Rattus norvegicus: one gene and its partners. Each later gene encodes a partner of the first gene's protein in a complex. Links are inferred from orthologs where the notes say so. Each region holds a gene or a part of one and is shown in the gene's direction. Other genes may lie near its edges.

Region 1 (2,213 bases):
CCACGGATGCCCAATGTACAGCCACCAAGGAGCATCTCGCCAAGTGCCCTGCAAGACCTGCTTCGGACCCTAAAGTCACCCAGCTCTCCTCAGCAGCAGCAGCAGGTGCTGAACATCCTCAAATCAAACCCACAGCTAATGGCAGCTTTCATCAAACAGCGCACAGCCAAGTATGTGGCCAATCAGCCTGGCATGCAGCCCCAGCCCGGACTTCAATCCCAGCCTGGTATGCAGCCCCAGCCTGGCATGCACCAGCAGCCCAGCCTGCAAAACCTGAACGCAATGCAAGCTGGTGTGCCACGGCCTGGTGTGCCTCCACCACAGCAGGCAATGGGAGGCCTGAACCCCCAGGGTCAGGCTCTGAATATCATGAACCCGGGACACAACCCCAACATGGCGAACATGAATCCGCAGTACCGAGAAATGGTGAGAAGACAGCTGCTACAGCACCAACAGCAGCAGCAGCAGCAGCAGCAGCAGCAGCAGCAACAGCAACAGCAACAAAGCAGTGCCAGCTTGGCCGGGGGCATGGCAGGACACAGCCAGTTCCAGCAGCCACAAGGACCTGGAGGCTACGCCCCAGCCATGCAGCAGCAACGCATGCAACAGCACCTCCCCATCCAGGGCAGCTCCATGGGCCAGATGGCTGCTCCAATGGGACAACTTGGCCAGATGGGGCAGCCTGGGCTAGGGGCAGACAGCACCCCTAATATCCAGCAGGCCCTGCAGCAGCGGATTCTGCAGCAGCAGCAGATGAAGCAACAAATTGGGTCACCAGGCCAGCCGAACCCCATGAGCCCCCAGCAGCACATGCTCTCAGGACAGCCACAGGCTTCACATCTCCCTGGCCAGCAGATCGCCACATCCCTTAGTAACCAGGTGCGGTCTCCAGCCCCTGTGCAGTCTCCACGGCCCCAATCCCAACCTCCACATTCCAGCCCGTCACCACGGATACAGCCCCAGCCTTCACCACACCATGTTTCACCCCAGACTGGTTCCCCTCACCCTGGACTTGCAGTCACCATGGCCAGCTCCATGGATCAGGGACACCTGGGGAACCCTGAACAGAGTGCAATGCTCCCCCAGCTGAATACCCCCAACAGGAGCGCGCTGTCCAGTGAACTGTCCCTGGTTGGTGATACCACGGGAGACACGCTAGAAAAGTTTGTGGAGGGCTTGTAGCATTATGAGAGCATTGGGTGTTTGTTTTTTTGTTTTTGTTTTGGGGATTTTTTGGGTCTTTTTTTTTTTTTTTTCTCCCTCTTTTTTTTTTTTTTTTTTTTTTTTTTTGGTTTTTTTTCTTTTTTGGTTTTTTTTGGGGTTTTTTTTGGGGGGGTTTTTTTTTTTTTTTTTTTTGGTTTTTGTTTTGTTGTTTTTCTTCCCCCCCCCCCCCCCCTTTCATGTTTTTGGACTTTTTGTACTGAAAATCCAGACATTTGGGCTCTTTTTATTAAGCCTAGATGGGACTGTGACTCCCAAGCATGGAAGGGCAGATTGATGTTTAAAGAAACAATACAAAGAATATATTTTTTGTTAAAAACCAGTTGATTTAAATATCTGGTGTCTCTCTCTCTCTCTTTCTCTCAGCTTTTTTTCTCTTTTTTTTCTGTTTTGTTTTTGGGGGGTGGGGGGTTGTTTGGATTCTTTTTGTCGTCATTGCTGGTGACTCATGCCTTTTTTTAACGGGAAAAACAAGTTCATTATATTCATATTTTTTATTTGTATTTTCAAGACTTAAACATTTATGTTTAAAAGTGAGAAGAAAAATAATACTCAGAAACTGGTTCCAGAAATAATGCATCTTATAATGTGTCCCGATAACGAGCTGATGTTGCGGGAAGATTTTTTTCTATAGTGAACTCTGTGGGCATCTCCAAGTATTACCCCTGGACGATAGGAATTGACTCCGGCGTGCACACATGTACACACCCACACACATCTATCTATACATGCTGGCTTAAGCCAGCCTCTTGTCTTGCAGATGTAGAAATTGTTGCTTTGTTTCTCTGATAAAACTGGTTTTAGACAAAAATAGGGATGATCACTCTCTTAGACCATGCTAATGTTAATAGAGAAGAAGCATTCTTTTCTTTCTTCTATGTGAAACTTGAAATGAGGAAAAGCAATTCTAGTGTAAATCATGCAAGCGCTATAATTACTATAAATAAGAAAATTCAAGAAGATTCAATCACTGTATAGAATGGTAACGTACC
Region 2 (4,269 bases), on another chromosome or scaffold:
TGTTCTGTGGGTGTCTGGCAGGTGGGGCAAAGTTCGCCACAGGTATGAGGCTGATCAGCAAAGGTGGGTTTTAAAGACGTTCCTGAATGTGCCTGTAGGGTCTGGTTCCAGTTCCCAGGGTGAAGAGATGTGCGCTGAAAGTTTCCTTTCCCTAGTAGGCTTTCCTGGTCGCTCATCGCCACAAATAGCATAGTGGCAGGCCCAGCGTGAGGACAGACAGGAGGGCTGGCATAGCACACATTTCATTCCCAAAGGAGCAGCGTCCTGAGGCGTTGGCACCCCGGGGGCTATGTGCATTCCGTGATCAGAGATCCAGGGGTGAAGCAAACAAAGCGGTTGCTCCCAGTCGCAGCCTGCCCCCTGCGCTGTCAGTTGGCAGAGTCCCAGTGCCTGAGCTGGACATAGTCAGCCCCTCAACTTCCCCCTTCCCCCAGCGTACACAGAGGGGCCGCAGCCCGGGGCGGGGCAGAGGCGGAGGGTCGAAGCGGCCGCGCCTCCCCGCGACCGTCCTCGATGCCCTTCAGCCTCTGCCTTCCCCGCCCGCCACACCCACCCTGGCACCTCCGACACCTGTTGCCGCGTGCCCCAGCTCGCTCTTCCTTTCTCCCCATTTCGCATCCTGGGGCTCTGAAGATCAGATCCCGCCTGCCCGCCCGCCACCCCACGAAGTCCCGGGACTCGGGGCACGCGCTCCACGATCTAGACCAGTTCACCGAGGGCACCCGGTGGGAAGCTCTACCAGACCCGCAGCCTTGAACTTCAGTTCTGGCCGGTGCGCGGGGCTGGGAGCAGAAAGGCGCGCTCGCCCAGGCGCGCCCTTCCCACAGGGCTGTCTCGCCCGTCGGGTGACCTTGGGCAGTCCCTTCACCTAGCCAGCCTCAGTTTACCAACAGATGCCCGAGCCCCGAGGCACTAAATGGGCATCGAGGAGAACTGCCCAGGGCCTCTTAGGCCCCGCCCTCACAGCAGCGGCCAATCAGATGCTGCCGTCCGGGGGGTGTGTCTCGTTCTGAACCGCGGCCCGGGCCTAGAGGGCGGGGTTTCCGGGGCGGTCACCTCGCCGCGGGACCCCGCAGGGGACGTCCGAGGGGCGGCGCGTGTCGTGGGGGCGCGGCTGGCACGGGCGCGCGTAGGCGGTGCCGGGCAGGGGCCCCGGACGCTGCGGCCCCACGACAGGGGTGACGGGGGCGGAGACAGCCGCTCGAGCCCCTCCTGGCGCCGCCTACCCGGGCGGGCTGGCCCTGCGGACCCGCAGGCGGAGCGCAGCCTCAGGTGCCCAGGGGCGGGAGGGCACGCGCGAGGACGGGAGCCAGGCGTCCCCCGTCCCGGGACAGTGAGGTGGGTGGACAGGGAGGGGAGGGGCTCGGTGGCGCATGCGCGTGGACCAGGGGCGCGGGTCTGGAGACCCACAGCCACTGGCGAGGGCACACGCTAGGAAGGGCACACGCGTGCGACTTTCGGGGCCCCTGGAACTGTCCGCTACTTCGAGTCCCCTTGAGCGCCGTGTGCCGGCTCTGAACATTGGCGTTCGCAGCTGTTTTGTGGGCTGGAGGGTTCGTGGAGTCCTGGAACTGAAGCGACGCTGGGTCCTCTGGTTGTCCCCTTGAGGGGAGGGCACACGAGCGGGGACATCGGGGCGCTCCCTTCCCACAGCGTGGTGCATTTGGGCGTAACTCACCGGGAGGCGTTTCCTGAGACCCTCGGGGATCTTAGAGGCGAGGTAACTCGAGGCCCCGGGACAGACTGATTCTGGGGTCACTGAGTCTAGCCACTGCTGGGGATCTGGAGGAACACCGGTGGGTTCAGCCGACTCGCTTTGAACACCGGTTTCCTCATTGAGGCTGACCTTAGTGGGGCGGTGTGAACAGGCCCCAGCAGTACGGTAGAGACGATGCCAAAGCTACCCCTATGTCTCTGCCCTCCAGAGCCCAGTGCCACAGCCGGTCCTGTGTGGGGCCAGCTTTAGTCTCTACTCTGTGCAGTGCCTGCGCGGCTGACCTGCTATGGATAAAGGGAGCCGGGAGTGTCTGTGTGTTAGTCGGGGAGGGTGATTCTGCCCCAGTACCTCTCCAACTAGCCTGGAATAACTGCACCTCTCCTTTCCCAAACTTTTTTTTTCTCGGAGAGAATGTTAGGATTCTAAGGAAAATCCACAGTGATAAATAATGTCTTTGGAGGGGGGGGCACTCTGCCACTGGGGTGCTCCCCCAACCCCAGCCCACTCCCTTCCTCTTAGGAAAGGCCTCTCCTGTCCTAGCTCTTCCTGGGGGAGGAGCACAGAACTTTCTTGGGCGACCCTGGACACTGCGGTGGTTGCAGGCAACAGGGTCACAGTGACTTTCCCAAGGTGGTGGAGAGTTGGGGGGGATCCAGAGAACATATTGTAACTGGTTCCTTCCTTAACGTTCTATAGCCAAGACTGAAGTTCAAGGCCCTGCCTTCCCTGTGAACTGACATTTGTGACTGGTCAAGCTCAGGACACAAGACGTTGTCATCACAGGTAAGAGGGGTTGACGGACGGCTTTCAGTCTGGAATATTGTAAACGCTGTCATAAGTTGTACTTCAGACTAGCAACAGGTGTAGTAGCTATTTTGTGGTGAAATAGTAAATGTCTTCTCAGGGAAGCCAGGTAAATGGGTGGTCCACATTTCAGTACTGATGGAATGTGTTTTTTTCCTGGGAACTTCATTTCTTTGCGGCTTCAGTGTAGTTTAGAAAGAGGTGTTATTGCATCTGGCTATGAACTGACTCGGAAGACTGTCTCTTGGCTGTCTTCATATCAATTCGGCTAAGTAGTTGGTTCGTTTCATCACTAGCTAGTGCAGGGATGGTCCCCAAGAAACAGCCAGATAAACATTACTTGGTGACCATATGAAAACCCAGAGTCGGTGGGCCTATGATACATGAACTGACCGTAGAAAGCAAAGGGTCTCTTTTCCAACACTTAAACATGTATGGAAACACACCAGACTCATAGAGTTTGTTAGGAGGGCAGGAGCCTGCTACGTAGCCTGTGCTAGTCTGGAAGTTGCTGTGTAGCAAAGGCTAGCCTTGAACTCTTTATATTCCTACCTCAGCCTCCCAAGTACTGAAGGCTGAAGTAGTTCTGTTTAACTGATGTTTGTCAAGCCTAGAAACAGAGTTCTAAAAAGTGTGTGTGTGTGTGTGTGTGTATGTGTGTGTACATGTGTGTATGAGTGTATATGTGTGTATGTGTCAATGTGTGTATGTGTTTGTATGTGTGTGTTTGTGTCAAGGTGTGTATGTGTATTGTGTGTCTCAGTATATATGTGTATATGCATGTGTCTATGTGTATGTATGTATGTAAGGGGTGGGAAGAGAATGAGAGAAGAGAAAGCATGTTTCTAATTTGTTTTATTAACTATTAAGTTGAGAAAAATATTTTCATGTGAATGTGAGAAACAACATATTTTTGCCTCAAGTGTGTGTCTAATAACTCACTAGGTTTACATACGGTATTTAGCCAATGCATATATAGACATATGTTAGTATATAATTCATTCATTTGATTCATGCTTATTGCATAGCTTCCTGGGGCAGGGGCCACTATGCCATTCCTAAACAAGAGAGCTATGAACTTGCTATGAGACTGATTTCCATGCTGGAATTAGAGGAAACTTGAAGCCAGGTGGTGGTGGTGCATGCCCTTAATCCCAGCACTCCAGAGGCAGAGGCAGGCGGATTTCTGAGTTTGAGGCCAGCCTGGTCTACAGAGCGAGTTAGTTCCCAGACAACCAGAGCTACACCAAGAAACCCTGTCTTGGGGGTGGGGAGAAGAAGAAGAAAGAAATGAACGTGAGGGCTAGGGCTGTGGTTCCATTGGTGGAGGGCTTGCCAATCATGCACAAGGCCCTTGGTTTGATCCTCAGCCCCTCATAAACCAGGTGCAGCACAGTCCATGCCCGTGATCCCGGCACTGTGGAGACAGAGGCAGGAGAGACAAAAGCATATGATACCTTTGAGGCTATGCCAGGCTACGTGAGAACCTTGTCTCAAAAACAAATCAATAGCCAGGCATGGTGACACATTCTTTTAATCCTTGTACTCCGGAGGCAGATGCAGAAGCAGGAGGTTCTCTGTGAGTTCAAGGCCAGTTTGGTCTACACAGAGAGCTTGGGGCTGGCCAATGAGACCCTCTCTAAAAAACAAAACAAAACAAAACAAAACAAAAATAAAGCAAACAAGCAAACAAAAAAAGAGAGAAATTCATAACTATCCTCCTGATGGTTAATAGATGAAGAAACTGA
Region 3 (4,092 bases), on another chromosome or scaffold:
GGAGGAGCTTCTCGCCCCAGGGGACAAGGGAGGCATCTTCGGAGTCGGCTCAGGAAATCTGTTGTCTCTTCTTGGGCAGGGCTCCTAGGGGCAAGAACCTCAGAGTTATCCCAGAGGGTTCTGAGCAAACAATCCCTTCGTCCTCTCGTGGAAGATTCTTGAAGCTTGGGACAGACATATGGGGTTAGGTATGAAGGGAGTAGACCACTAGACTCAGGAAGATCTTCTGATCAAAGGCTGGCCCTGGGGGAGTGGAATAGTATCTCACCTGGGTGGAGTTGGGACAGGGGACCCAGCAGTTTCACCGCGCCTAAGGAAGGCAGTCAGAACCTTCAGTGTGTCCTCTTGGAGACCCAACTCTTCAGAGCCGGCCATGGAGGTACCTGAAGCAGAAGACAGAGAATGTACCCAAATGGAGTGATAACTCAAACTTCATTCAATCACTGAATGAAGAGGACACCTTACTCCAAGGAAAAGGTGGCTTAAGGGCCAGTGGGGCAGTTGATTCCGTTGAGGAGAAAGGGCCTGAATTATTGAATCTAAGAAAGGACGTAGGGGTTGGGGATTTAGCTCAGTGGTAGAGCGCTTGCCTAGCAAGCGCAAGGCCCTGGGTTCGGTCCCCAGCTCCGAAAAAAAAGAAAAAAAAAAAGAAAGAAAGAAAGAAAGGACGTAACTGAGTGCTTGGACTCTTACATGCAGGAGCAGGAAGGGAGCCCTGAGTGCTGAAGGAGTCTCGAAGACCCTAGAGAATAGGGAACTACTAATCCTAGTACGCTTTGCGGCAAACGCTAGCCGGGTTTCCCCTCTTTTTCACCGAGCAGCCTGCTGGGAGATGTAGTTCCAATGACCTCTGGCGGGCACCAGGAGACCTCCGTGCTTGGAAGTCAGAGAGACAGGACTGGCTGTGACCTCTCCTGCAACCTAGCTCCCTCCCTGGTACCCCGCTCACCTGGATCGGGGTTCTGCCTCAGTCGTACTGGCGCACACACGCTTTCACTCAATTTCTACAAACTTTACTTCCGAAGTTCAACTTTCCCGCGCCTGCGCACTGGGCCGACACGGTAACCGCCCCAACGTCGAGGGGGCGGAGCGCTGTGTTGCATCATTTGCATATGGCGTTCCCAGCATGCCTGTAGGCGGAAGGCCAAAAAAGGGCATTGAGGGAGTTAGGCCGGTTCAGTCGGAGTGTGCTCCTAGGTTTTCTGACTTTTCTTAAAGTAAATGATGAGAAATTTTTTTTTTATCTCAAAATACCATTAGAAAGGAAAGTCCCAACGCTCGGAAGCTTAGTTGACAAAGAAGGGGGTTGCGTGGCTGCGAGTCTCAACTACTGTTTGGGAGCCCCAAAACCAGTGCTGACACCCGCGCCCCACGAGCGCGCAATTCCTCCCCTGGTAGGTAACGCGGAAGAACCGGGAGGGTGGCGGCCTCAGGGCACAGGAGCTCGGCTACCGAAAACCAGAATGGTTACGCGTTGTAGACGGAAGCCTGCAGTCTCAGCATCCAGACTGGAGGCAGTAAAGATTGCTGCAAGTTCGAGGCCAGTGAGCTCCAGGCCAGGCTGAACCACAGAATGAGCTCCAAACCAGCATGGGTTAAGCGAGTTGAAGACCAGCCTGAGCTACTGAATAAGTTTGAGGGTAGCTTGGGTTACAGAGTGCATTCGAGGCCAGCCTGGGCCACACAGTGAGTTGAAGACCAATCATGGCTACATAGCAAGTTCGAGGACAGCCTATGCTCCATACTAAGACCCTGTCTCAAAACATCCATAAAAACAATGTAGAAAAGACAAAGCAGAAGAAGCGACAGCAGCTGGGAGAAGACTCTGGAAATGAGTAAGGGTTTTCTGCAAGGGTGAGGTGGGTGTGAGAACAGTCATGATTCTTTAAAGACAGGGAAAGAGGACTCCACCCTGGAAATGGGGTACTTGCTTTGAGTAATAGGGGTTTACATTTAGAAAAGGGAAAGAACCTATGGAAAACTGTGGGGTAGGATAGGCGGTCCCGTTGGAATTGGAAAGGTGGGAAGGAGTTTCCCGTTTGTACACAGGAAAACAGGGTGAAGGAAGGCCTGTGCTGTATCGGGTCGGAGAGGTTTGAGTGCATTTGCCCCTTGACATACAGGCTCAGGAACTGCACTGTATGCGCAGGCTGGATCATGGGAACCCCGAAACCGCTGATTTTGCCTTGGCTGGTGTCTCAGCTGGACCTGGGACAGCTGAAAGGTGTGGCCTGGCTGGACGAGAGCCGTACAAAGTTCAGGATCCCATGGAAGCATGGCTTACGACAGGACGCACAGATGGCTGACTTTGGCATCTTCCAGGTGCTGGGGGGGAGGGGGCGGGGGGGGGCGTTGAGACTTCAGAGGCATTTATGGGCGTGACTAGACAGGGCTGGGTCTTGCTAATTAGGTGGGATAGACTTGGAGGGACAGCCCGGAATTGATTGGCAGATTCCAGGAATAGAATTCTGAAAGCCAGGTTGTGTCTCTAAAAAACTGTTCTGGAGCAATGGTTCTCAATCTGTGGGACGCAACCCCTTTGGGGGTTGAACGGGCCTTTCATTGGAAAACAGATATTCACATTAAGATTTATAACAGCTGGGGTTGGGATTTAGCTCAGTGGTAGAGCGCTTGCCTAGCAGGAGCAAGGCCCTAGCAAGGCCCTGGGTTCGGTCCCCAGCTCCGGAAAAAAAAAAAAAAAAAAAAGATTTATAACAGCAAAATTACAGTTTTGAAGTAGCAATGAAAAAAATTTGGGGCTGGGGACTCACTACATCATGAGGATCTGTATTCGGATAGTTGAGAACAGCTCTTTTATTAGAGGATGGGAAATCTCGGGGGGGGGGTGGGCTCTTGATTTTAGATCCCTTAAATCTTAAGAATTGGAACAGCCCTCAGGATGGGGTTATTAGCTACCAGATCAGCATGGTAGTAACAGAATGTGGGGTGAGGTACCAAGTAGGTCCTAGAATACTGGCTTAAAAAACAAAAGGCTTGGGTTGGAGAGATGGCTCAGCGGTTGGGAGCACTGACTGCTCTTCCAGAGGTCCTGAGTTCAGATCCCAGCAACCACATGGTGTCTCACAACCATCTGTAATGAGATCTGATGCCCTTTTCTGGCACATCTGAGGACAGCTACGTGTACTCGTCTATAATAAATAAACCTAAAAAAAAAAAACAAACCAAAATCAAAAGGCTTGAAGGTGGATGTGTGGCATACGTTTGTAATCCCAGCACTCTGGAAGTGGCAGCTAGAGGGTCGAAACTTGGAGCCTACCTTTGTTATAATGTGTGAGACCCTGTCTCATATTCAAAAATATTTTTCTAAAGTGTGGAAAATATAGATAAGGATGAGGTCGGGACAGAAGTCCTAGGGGCTCTATGAATGTGAGAACTTAGGTCAGGAACCAGAAATGTATGGAATATGGTGGGAGGTGTCTAAGTAGTCTTCCCTACTGTCCTGGAATCACTGATGTATCAGGCCTGGGCGGAAGCCAGTGGTGCCTACACCCCAGGGAAGGATAAGCCAGACCTGTCAACCTGGAAGAGGAATTTCCGGTCAGCCCTGAACCGGAAAGAAGTGTTGCGATTAGCTGAGGACCGGAGCAAGGACCCTTTTGACCCTCATAAAGTGTATGAGTTTGTGACTCCAGGTGTGTGTAACAAGGCTGGCTTGGGGGTCACAGGAACCGTGGGGTCTGGAAGATCTCTGCCACTTACTCTGCTCACTTCCACTCTGGACAGGAGGAGCAAGGGACTTTGTACATCTGGACACCTCCCCTGACACCAATGGCAAAAGCAGTCTGTCTGATCACCAGGTGAGGAGACACTAGTCTTGTGCCCAGCCTTGCCCCATCCATTAGGCCTCACCTTCTTCCCACCCCAGCCCTTACCCCTGGACCTCCATTCCCACCAATCTGCTACCCTCTGGCTCAGCTGAAGCTGTTGACTAGCTCCTTCCTCCTCCAGGAAGACCTCTTGGAATTACTCGATCACATGGCCTTGGGACCCCTCCCAGATGAGGGGTCCTCAGACCTGCCTATTGCTTCTGATCCTTCTCAACCACCACTAAGCCCCATTGTAAACAACTTC

Evidence for each region. The genes of interacting proteins can lie anywhere in the genome.
Region 2: the proteins of Crebbp (region 1) and Ppara are in contact, whole or in part, in a crystal structure (PDB 9IWL), measured with the Homo sapiens proteins. The link is inferred for Rattus norvegicus from reciprocal best matches to the Homo sapiens genes CREBBP and PPARA. Residues at the interface, in NP_004371.2 of Homo sapiens: Asp62, Ala63, Ala64, Lys66, His67, Lys68, Gln69, Leu70, Ser71, Leu73, Leu74, Arg75; in NP_001001928.1 of Homo sapiens: Val284, Thr285, Thr288, Glu289, Lys292, Phe297, Leu302, Asn303, Gln305, Val306, Thr307, Leu309, Lys310, His457, Pro458, Leu459, Glu462, Ile463.
Region 3: the proteins of Crebbp (region 1) and Irf3 are in contact, whole or in part, in a crystal structure (PDB 5JEM), measured with the Homo sapiens proteins. The link is inferred for Rattus norvegicus from reciprocal best matches to the Homo sapiens genes CREBBP and IRF3. Residues at the interface, in NP_004371.2 of Homo sapiens: Leu2070, Thr2073, Leu2074, Lys2075, Ser2076, Ser2079, Gln2081, Gln2082, Gln2084, Gln2085, Val2086, Asn2088, Ile2089, Leu2090, Asn2093, Gln2095, Leu2096, Ala2099, Phe2100, Gln2103; in NP_001562.1 of Homo sapiens: Pro198, Gly199, Glu200, Glu201, Trp202, Glu203, Ser221, Leu322, Ile326, Leu329, Ile330, Thr333, Thr370, Cys371, Leu372, Ala374, Leu375, Glu377, Met378, Ala379, Val381, Gly382, Gly383, Ala384.

The regions. Positions count from the first base shown.
Region 1 is NC_086028.1:11,964,340-11,966,552, forward strand, and holds part of Crebbp (histone lysine acetyltransferase CREBBP), read left to right. Parts: coding exon 1-1,182; 3' UTR 1,183-2,213. UniProt on the Homo sapiens protein: Acetylates histones, giving a specific tag for transcriptional activation. Mediates acetylation of histone H3 at 'Lys-18' and 'Lys-27' (H3K18ac and H3K27ac, respectively).
Region 2 is NC_086025.1:118,711,138-118,715,406, forward strand, and holds the start of Ppara (peroxisome proliferator-activated receptor alpha), read left to right. Parts: upstream 1-1,469; 5' UTR 1,470-1,720; intron 1,721-2,413; 5' UTR 2,414-2,500; intron 2,501-4,269. UniProt on the Homo sapiens protein: Ligand-activated transcription factor. Key regulator of lipid metabolism. Activated by the endogenous ligand 1-palmitoyl-2-oleoyl-sn-glycerol-3-phosphocholine (16:0/18:1-GPC). Activated by oleylethanolamide, a naturally occurring lipid that regulates satiety.
Region 3 is NC_086019.1:104,615,316-104,619,407, forward strand, and holds the start of Irf3 (interferon regulatory factor 3), read left to right. Parts: upstream 1-1,292; 5' UTR 1,293-1,394; intron 1,395-1,696; exon of another isoform or gene 1,697-1,734; coding exon of another isoform or gene 1,735-1,835; intron 1,836-2,070; exon of another isoform or gene 2,071-2,123; coding exon of another isoform or gene 2,124-2,157; coding exon 2,158-2,322; intron 2,323-3,481; coding exon 3,482-3,653; intron 3,654-3,744; coding exon 3,745-3,818; intron 3,819-3,969; coding exon 3,970-4,092. Other genes in the region: Bcl2l12 (bcl-2-like protein 12), read right to left, coding at 1-84, 269-375.